Linked DNA regions of Schizosaccharomyces pombe. The protein of the gene in region 2 purifies or fractionates together with the protein of the main gene of each other region. This does not show direct contact. Each region holds a gene or a part of one and is shown on either strand. Other genes may lie near its edges.

Evidence for each region.
Region 1: the proteins of eaf1 (region 2) and ebp1 purify together in Schizosaccharomyces pombe (affinity purification with western blotting; one study listed by BioGRID). This does not show direct contact.

The regions. Positions count from the first base shown.
Region 1 is NC_003424.3:3,275,695-3,280,562, reverse strand, and holds ebp1 (protein Ebp1), read left to right. Parts: upstream 1-2,029; 5' UTR 2,030-2,415; coding exon 2,416-3,912; 3' UTR 3,913-4,071; downstream 4,072-4,868. Other genes in the region: protein Xrc4, read left to right, coding at 578-698, 744-880, 1,024-1,143, 1,196-1,612; puf4 (RNA-binding protein), read right to left, coding at 4,333-4,638, 4,689-4,868.
Region 2 is NC_003421.2:1,859,662-1,863,764, forward strand, and holds eaf1 (RNA polymerase II transcription elongation factor Eaf1), read right to left. Parts: upstream 2,276-4,103; 5' UTR 2,253-2,275; coding exon 2,168-2,252; intron 2,066-2,167; coding exon 1,974-2,065; intron 1,809-1,973; coding exon 1,722-1,808; intron 1,598-1,721; coding exon 1,106-1,597; 3' UTR 806-1,105; downstream 1-805. Other genes in the region: serine/threonine protein phosphatase PP2C catalytic subunit Ptc2, read left to right, coding at 4,096-4,103.

The DNA.
Region 1 (4,868 bases), on a different chromosome or scaffold from region 2:
TATGTAAAAACCTCAGTTTTATATCTCGATGTAGTTTTGAATCTCGAAGAGAAAAAATGATATTATAAACAAGGCCTTGTTAACCAACACATATTGATGAAAGCATTTTTTTTGAAATCACCTTAGTTTAATTGACTTTAAAAAACTTTCAATAACTTGTAGTAGTCATCATCTAATTGCATTGCGAATTTCTTCTTGCTAACTACTTTAATTTGAAATTCTTTTTTTTTAACAAACATGGTATAAACATTTGCGCTGATTCTTATCCAATATTCTCGTATGGAAACCTCTTATATTATACTAAACGATTTGTTATATCACCGAATCAGCAATTTTTCAATCAGAAAGATTCTTTTCTTTCAATGAAAAAAATCTAAAAAAAAAACAATTTTCAAGATAGTGTTTCTTAGTAACCTAAAATTTTAAACTCATTCGGCTTCCAATTTATCAGCTGCGCACACTAAAACATTAGCAGTCAACAAGTTGGATTATCAAGTTTCTTATTACGTTTCCCTGCAAACTTGCACTGAGACCGCCTTGATGTTTCACATCAAATTTTGAGCTCAGGAAACAACTCATGAAATTTTTTTTATCACTGAAAGATTTTAAAGGAGAAAAATTCGTCCTACGCTCAGAATTGGATGAAAGCAGTGCTTTCTTGTGCGCAATTAGCCCAACCTGTAGATACGTCTTAAGGGGTATAGAAAGATAGTGTGTAAAACGTTCTTTTACTAATTTTCCAGATGAAATACCTTGGAAACGATTGCAACGGAACGTAACCTCAGAATCATTAACCGATGAACTTATCGTGGATCTGTTGTGCGGCAGATCCGAATCAAAGCACACATTGCAATTAGTGGTTTTAGAGAATTTATGTAGGGTATGTTTATTGCAATACTGTAGTAGTTAATGAATTGCTGATTGTGTGATGACTTTCAAACCAAGGAATTTTTTTGTTCGTCGCATCTACCCCATTTTGCCAGTCGTTTTTGAGCTGATTAATTAAATATGCTAACAATTTAGATTTATATCAACTACGTTGATCCTTTCCCTTTACGTATTGCCTGGTTTGAATTAGAACAACAAGCATTGAAAGACCATGAACATTTTGATGTACTGTGGGAGTGCAGCCATTCGATAAAGGTATGAAAAAAACTTTACATTCTTTCTCTTTTGCTGATTATTTGAAATTTAGGACCTTGCCCTTGCTAGTATGGCTCAACAAAAAAACGAGCTTCAAAAGCTTATGGCTTATACAGAGCAACTTCAAGAAGAATGTAAGTCTAGGGAACGAAAGCTTATAATGAAATTTGCAGATATGATTAAAAATGCAAGAAATAACGAGGATAATGAAGACAACCACCATATTAATTATGAGGATGAATCTGATGTCGGGACAGACGAGCAAAAGCAGCAAGAGGGAGTCAATTCTTCCGCAGTCTCTGATACTGACGAATCTGCAGTTTCTGATGAATTTATGCAGATAAAAGAAGAATTTCCAATGAAAGCATTGAGCGCTTCACCAACTGCAGACGCTTCTCCCGAGTCAGCAGGTGAAGATGATTCACATAGGCGATCGTCCCACGAAAGTAGCGAAACAGTTTCTGAGTAGCTTCGGAAGGAATGATAATATGATACATTACGCTTCAAGTTAAACTACCCGAAATGCCTCTCCATTCTTACACTTTTTTCAGTATTCAGGTCAACTTTATTCTCTTTAATTTCAAAACAATAATAAATTTACTTAAATTTAAATATTCACACGGAATCCTACTATAGGTAAAGCACTTGCAAGATAAATACAATATGTATAGTTGGTGAATTTTTATAAAGATGTCTTATAAGCCTAGCACTTCCTTCCTGTACAAAAGAATGAAGCATGTTTGCGATCGTGTTTACCATGCTATTATTTTCTGATCCACTTTTTCTTCAGCAAATTTACTATTTACATATATAATTTGTTACTCAAGGTTGGGCGCGTTCTGAAGTAACGTGTTTATTACTTGTCGACAATACGCTTCATAATTTCACCAAAATCCTATAACCAAGCCTGTTGTAATTTTATACTGGGATTTAGGCTTGAATATTCTTTTTTGACGGCATTTAGCAATTTTTGGCTTTGGATAAATGAATGCTTAGCTGTGTGGGCAAACGGGTTTTCGCTATTGGAAACGCAGTTACTAATTTGAATTTGCTAACATTCATACTGTTTTTAAATTAAATGCTGTGAAGATTTCTTTTCTTAAACTTTTCATATCTTTTCGAGTTACATGCTATCGGTAATTGCGCTAATTGACGCGAATTCTTAATATAATAGGCATTATTTGTTGTCTTCTAATCGAAATCTTTTAATTCCATAGCATATCTCTTTTTTAAGTAAATACTTTTATTTGAATAGTTTATACAGCGCATGCGATGAGCAACGACAGCAGTGATAATCAAATTCGTCGTCGGCATCATCCAGTACTGCCTAAGGGTTCCTTTCAGAAAAAGGACGATTCTATCGTCTTAGAACAGGAATTATCTACTCCAAAACAAGTCAACCAAGCCCGTCCAAAGTTTCCATCTCCAATTACTCCTACTCTTCCTGAAATGCATCTTCCCGTAGGGAATTCAAAATTCCAAGCGGTATTGCCAAGCTTGATAAGCCCTACGCTTCCTCCTGGGTTTGGAATGGCAAGCGATGACTCTGAAGCATCGTTAGCAGAGAACGATTTACATCCCTTGGATAACGATTCTACACGTACTAGCAAAACGCTTAAAAATTCATCAGAGGTTTTAACCGCTTCCAAACTTACTGATGAAGGTAATTCTAAACCTTTGTTGGAGGAAGGGGAGGTAGCTGTCAGTTCTCCAATTCTCCTTGATTCAAAAGATGTAATAATGGGAGTCACTAAGAGCTCAAAAAATCTAGTTGAAGATGCTCACAAATCAAAGAAGGCCTCCACGAACAGTTCCATAAATAATATGGTATCTACTGTAAATTCTGAAAATTCTAATGTTAATAATGGATCCTCGTTGAATGGTAACACCAGCAGCAATCTCAAGAGAAAAGCCAATGTAACGTTAGGTGATTATAAGCGCTTAAAAGTAAAAAACAAGAATCCTTCTTCCCAAGAGCTGATCACAGCTGATGTTGACAAAACATCTGGTTCACTGTCTGAAAAGTCGGAAGTAAATCATGCCTCTTTGAAGAAAACGTATATGCGTCTTCTTAACAGTGGGAAAATGCAAAAGAAAGAATGTGATAAGAAAGGAAAATTTTTCGAAGCGTACGCTGTAGATGCTGTTTTATGTTACACAGTTGCTTTTCACCTACAGAATCTTTCCAATCTTTCGAGAAACCATCCCGCTACTACGAGTAACTGGAGAACCCTCCCTGCGTATATTCAGTTTCTCATAAAAGAAGAGGATAAACTGGATCCTTGTATTCAAGGACTATTTTTTCTTTTACTCGGGATTGCATTTCGTGAAATTTTTCATATCGAGGTTATGAGGATACGACACTCACAATTGAATCTTATGAGAGACATAAAAGAAAGCTCAAGTGGATTAACATCTGCCAAGTCCCTCGGTGATGCACAGAATTTATGTGAGAATGCGGTGCGCCTTTACTCTTCGTATAAACATTACATTACATCTATGAAGAAGGGAAGTTCGTTGTTGACAATTGAATATATCTCATCTACTGCACCAAATACTTTTAACGAATTTTTTGTCCAAAAAAAGGCAAATATCCCTTTGCCATTAGATATCGACGCTCCAATTGGTGTCACAATCAGGTTTAGTCACAATTTATTAAACGAATGGATTAAAAAGCAAGGAGATGTTTTTGAGTCAAAGCTTTTAAAAGAAGATATCGAAAATCTTCAATCTTTAGAAGAAAGCTACCCCATTGCCCAATATTTATAAATAATTGTATTAACTCCCATAACTTGAAAGATTTGAGTCGGTCTTCAATAACAGAATGTCATTCTTTCACTAATAAAGTTACTTAATGTATTTTGCTTTATCATGCCTTTGTGTTTATTTTCAAATATGTAGAATAATCGAATAGATATTGATTCCCACGCTAAGTAGAAGTAATAAACTAAAACGTTTAGAATGCATGAACTTCTTAAGTACCTAGTACTATTCTGAATTTATATGATACGTTCACTGTAAAGATTTAAAAAGTCGTAAAAAAGTTCGAGGCTAGACTTAATTGTCTTTTAATACTAGATATACAAAGAAAGGCGATAAGCCTTTATACTCATGGTAATAAATAAAGAGCGATTTCAACAATGCGAGAGTCCTCCTTAATAATATGCAAATTACAGACGATAGAAACGTTTAAGCTGAAGAGGAAGTATTAACTCTTTCAGAATTACTGTACACAATAGGCTTTTCTTTCGAGCTCGGATGACGACGTTCTAACTTTGAAAGAATGCGACGACCACAGGGCGTATTCTTTATGCTTGGAATAAGTGGTTTAATCCGTTCAACCAACTCTGCGCGTTGCTTTACACTCGCATTATCAAGTGCCGTTTGAATAACATAATTAGCGAAAGAATCACGAAGTAACTTGGGAAGATGCTTTTCATCCATTAGTTCCGAAATCAGTTTTTCCTTAATAGCAGCGGGAGCAAAAAATATACACTAGTAAATTGATTAGTAAATTTCTGTTTTAACTTTACTACAAAACATACCTTTTCCATTACATTAGAGCTAAATTTTTGAGTTGAAAGAGCTCTCACTTTGTATAAAAAGTATGAGATAATAGCCTCAGTATGGTTTGGGTTGTTTAATTCCAAAACATACTGTAAAACGTAATTTCCGAATGCATCTTGTACGAGAGTGAGCGCATGGGGGACAATGTGTTCCACAAG
Region 2 (4,103 bases):
TTTCAATTTGCATATTTTCAAGTATATTGCTGATTAATCATTTGTCATGAAAACATCAAAAGAATCAACTCAACTTTTTTTTTTCTCTTGGATGTTTTTCTTGTTTTTTTCTTTTTTGCATCAATGAATTAATTCTTTTCTAAATTTTTTATTTATTCAATTTTTTTATTTATTTTAAATCCTCTTCTCTCTTCTATCCTTGTTTACACTCTCTCAACTACAGACAACATTGTTACCTAATGCCCCCATACACTATATATACACACACACCTCTACCTTCGTTCTTCCTTAAACAACGTATTCATTATATTCCTTGTCCAACATGTTTACCTGGTAAAACACACCGCTAGTTGACACTATCTATACTGACTGATGCTGTTGGATGGTGATTTCTAGTTTAGTTTTTCTAATTACAACAATATATTTTCCTTAGTGGAAATGCTTTGAGTAACTTCTTTTCATTTTCATATATTCAGACTAAATAGGTAAGCTCGTCTTTTGCATGCAGGAAACTGAAACGACAAATGTTGGATTGCAAGGATGCTTAATCATCTGATTTAATGAGCCTGATGGTCTTGACAACCAAAATGCTGTCAACTTTGATTACTGAGCAATTTACAAACGAATGTCAAAACTCTTTTTTTGTCTTTTTCCTGGTTCAGACAATTAGTTTTTCTTAACTCCTTTTACTAATTCTTTTTTTTACTAGTCAAGCTTCTTTTTTTTTTATAGTTTATTTAAAACCCCAACGTTGCTACTCTGGTATTGCCGTGGGTTGAATAAAATTGTCCGTCTCATGAAACGCTAAGACAAGCCATGTTTTTTATAGTCATTATGAATTAATAATAATAAAAAGAAATATAAAAAGATGAAAACATTTTAAAACGATATATGTTTTTCCCTTGGCGTAGACACGTTCGTATATAATTAAAAAAATGACACAGAGTGAAACGAGTTTATTACCGCCGATTCGCTGTCGAGTAGTGATGGAAAAGACTTGTCTTGCTTTACTTTACTCCCTGGAATTTCGTTGCAAGTCGTTCATTAACAGATTTTCTCATTATCGTGTTTGGAAAGTGTATACGAAACACAGCATAAAGCATACTTAATCCTCATCCTCGGAAGCGCTGCTGATACCCTCTGCCTGAGCAGAAGAAGCATAATCCCTCTCTTGCGAAGATAGACCCCTCAAAGAGATTGGTTTGCTGGCCGTTTGGGATACTGTAGAGGGGTCGTCTATGGAATTAAATTCCTGATCAAATCCTAGCTCTAACTCTTTGGCAAAGTCATCCAACTCCATGACCTCCATGTCAGGCTCATCGTTGGTATCGGTGGTGATTGGTCCCTTGCTAGATATGGCAGGATATCGAGTATTGCTCGATGAAGGTTTTATTTTTCCATCCTTTGAAGCTTCCAATTCCTTTTCTTTACGTCTCGTGGAATTAGTCGTGACCGCACTTTGAGAGGTCGATTTGGATTCAGAGATTTGGGAATTATCAGATTGAGTGATGGCATTAGAAGGTACAGTTTTAGAGACTTTTGGATTGCGTAAAGCATTTAATCGAGCAATCTCATCAATATGCTCCAGTGTGAATGTCTAATGCCTAATGTTAGTATCGTAGTAGTGACATGAAAACGATTCCTGTTCTATACATACACATGCACGCATGCATACATAGATTTTAACCTCTTTAAAAATAGTATATGGGACAATAACTTACCTTTGTTTTAGCGTTAAAAATTAGTACACAGTCCACATTCCTGGCTCGTTGGCATGAGCCTTCAAATATATGAGGCCTGTCATCATCCTACCAATGAAGATATACATTAGCATTCGTTGATTCAATAACAGAAGCAAATTGATGTTTCAAAATTTGAGGAACCAAAAAGTAAAAAAATGATTTTTTCAAATTTTTACTCCTCATGGAAGAAAAGGGAAACCAACTTTGCTTAGTCAATTTTATAATACTTACAAAAGTTGAAGGAAGACGTAGACGATAGGCTTCCTGAGCCTTTTCTAAAACACCTCGACGAGAAGGGTCCACACTTTCTGGTATAAAATTGTCTATAAACAAAAAAGAAATAAGTATTCTGCCTGGAGAAAGTATGATGTTCATAGTTTGCAACAGAGATATACACTGTCTCTAAAAATAAATGGGCAACGTACATTTAATAGATAAAAGTCCATTTGAATTCTTTGAGAAGCTGGACCCGGGAATAACTTTGTATGATCCCTTCTGTAATGAATTCATGATTGTTTATAATGGTAAAAGTCAGGCCTGTACGAAATTGGAAATTTCGATATAAATCAAATAAATAACGTAAGGTAAGACAGCTCAAGGTTTCTAATTTTAAACCCCAGAAATGTAAGCTACGCAGTTTGGTATCTGGTTTAAGGATACGTAGAACTGCGGTGAGTTTTCCTTGTGGTCTATTATATTACATTACACAGGTTGTATAAGTAGCAACTGAGAATAGGTATTGTATTAACAGGGTTATAATGTTACCTATCACTAATATAGCTCATAACTGAACTGAGGAACGAGGTTCAGTTGGAACTCTATTCATAATATTTCTAAATAGTTGTTATCATCGGGTATCTATGTATATAGACGGATAGTTACCCGTGATTATCAATAAACGGATCTTAGCTAGTATTCCAACATATGACATATAGTGATGCGCAACGTAGTGTATCATAGCGTAGTGTAGTATTGCTGACAAGAAATGAACGATAATGGATAAACACTCAATTTGCTATACCAATTTGCGAGCAGCTATTTTAGCATTCGTAAAAACGAACTTACACAGTGCGCGACCGAGAAAGACGTTGTAGGTTGTACAGTATATATCATTTCGGTACAAGGATGAATCCTTTATTTACAAGATATATATACATTCGAGGACTACCTGCGCACAGTCAGCAGTATGATTGAAATATTATAAAAATTTACTTGCGTTTCTTGTCTTTTAGGTGCATGTCGTAGGGCAAAATTCTCAGAGTATGATGACTGTTAGATTTATTGCTGCTATTGACAACAAAAACGTCACGATCGATTTAAAAATTAGTAAATCAGTAGTCAAAATACATGGTTTTTCTTATTGCTGCGTCAATCTATCATTCATTGATATTTATTAGCTACAGCTCATTTCTTTTTAAAAAATTTACCATATAGCGAATCGCGGGAAATGAACGTTTAACATTTTTAACGAAGTTAGCTTCTAATACATTAATTACGAAGAGCTTGTATAAACAGTTGACTAGTGTAAGCAGGTATATGAGCATTGTGAGCAAAGCCTTTTTGAATAAGATTATGTTTATTATTGTATTATTAATGTACCAAGTTGCATGGGGAAAAAGTCTACGACATTTTCATGAACATTCCATTCTCATTTCTCTACCTCTTGGATTATTATATTAACTTTTCATTTATGGTAAAGCAACATAATCTACGGCTTTACCGTACTCGGTTGTATGGTGTAGCGGTTAGCACGCGAGATTTTGATTCTCGAGATCTGGGTTCGACTCCCAGTACGACCTTTTTGCCAGAGCGAACAGTGAAAGGAAAGAAGCAAGAATTGCTTTTAGACCTGGGTTTGGATTACTTTTTTCGATATCGCCATAGCTTTATTATAAGTAAGGGCTCCTCGATGCGCTAGCAATTTCAAGGCATCGTTCATTAGTGTCTTTGTGAGGGTATATTAGCCGGAGCTGGAGCACATTGAAGCTTAACAGTATCAAAATTTATTTTTTATATTGTAAATCATTTCTACTAAATTATTTACCCACCCTTCATTTTCACGCTTTTCTACCCAACAACGATTTGGTTAATAACGTAAAGCGTACGAATTTGCAAAGCAACGCTTCCGTGGTGTACAGAAAATCGCTATTTTTTAACGAGACAACTTTAAAGCGTAATGCGATATAAAGTTTTTTTAAAGTATCCTTATATATTATTTAGCTAGCGTGGTTAAATTCCCTATTAATTTGCTCATACACTTTTTTTTGTTTCCTTTCCGTAACTTTACTAAACGCATCAACCGCAAATTACAGGTTTTTTAGCTGGGCTAACAAAGGTAATAGAAAATATACACATGGGCCA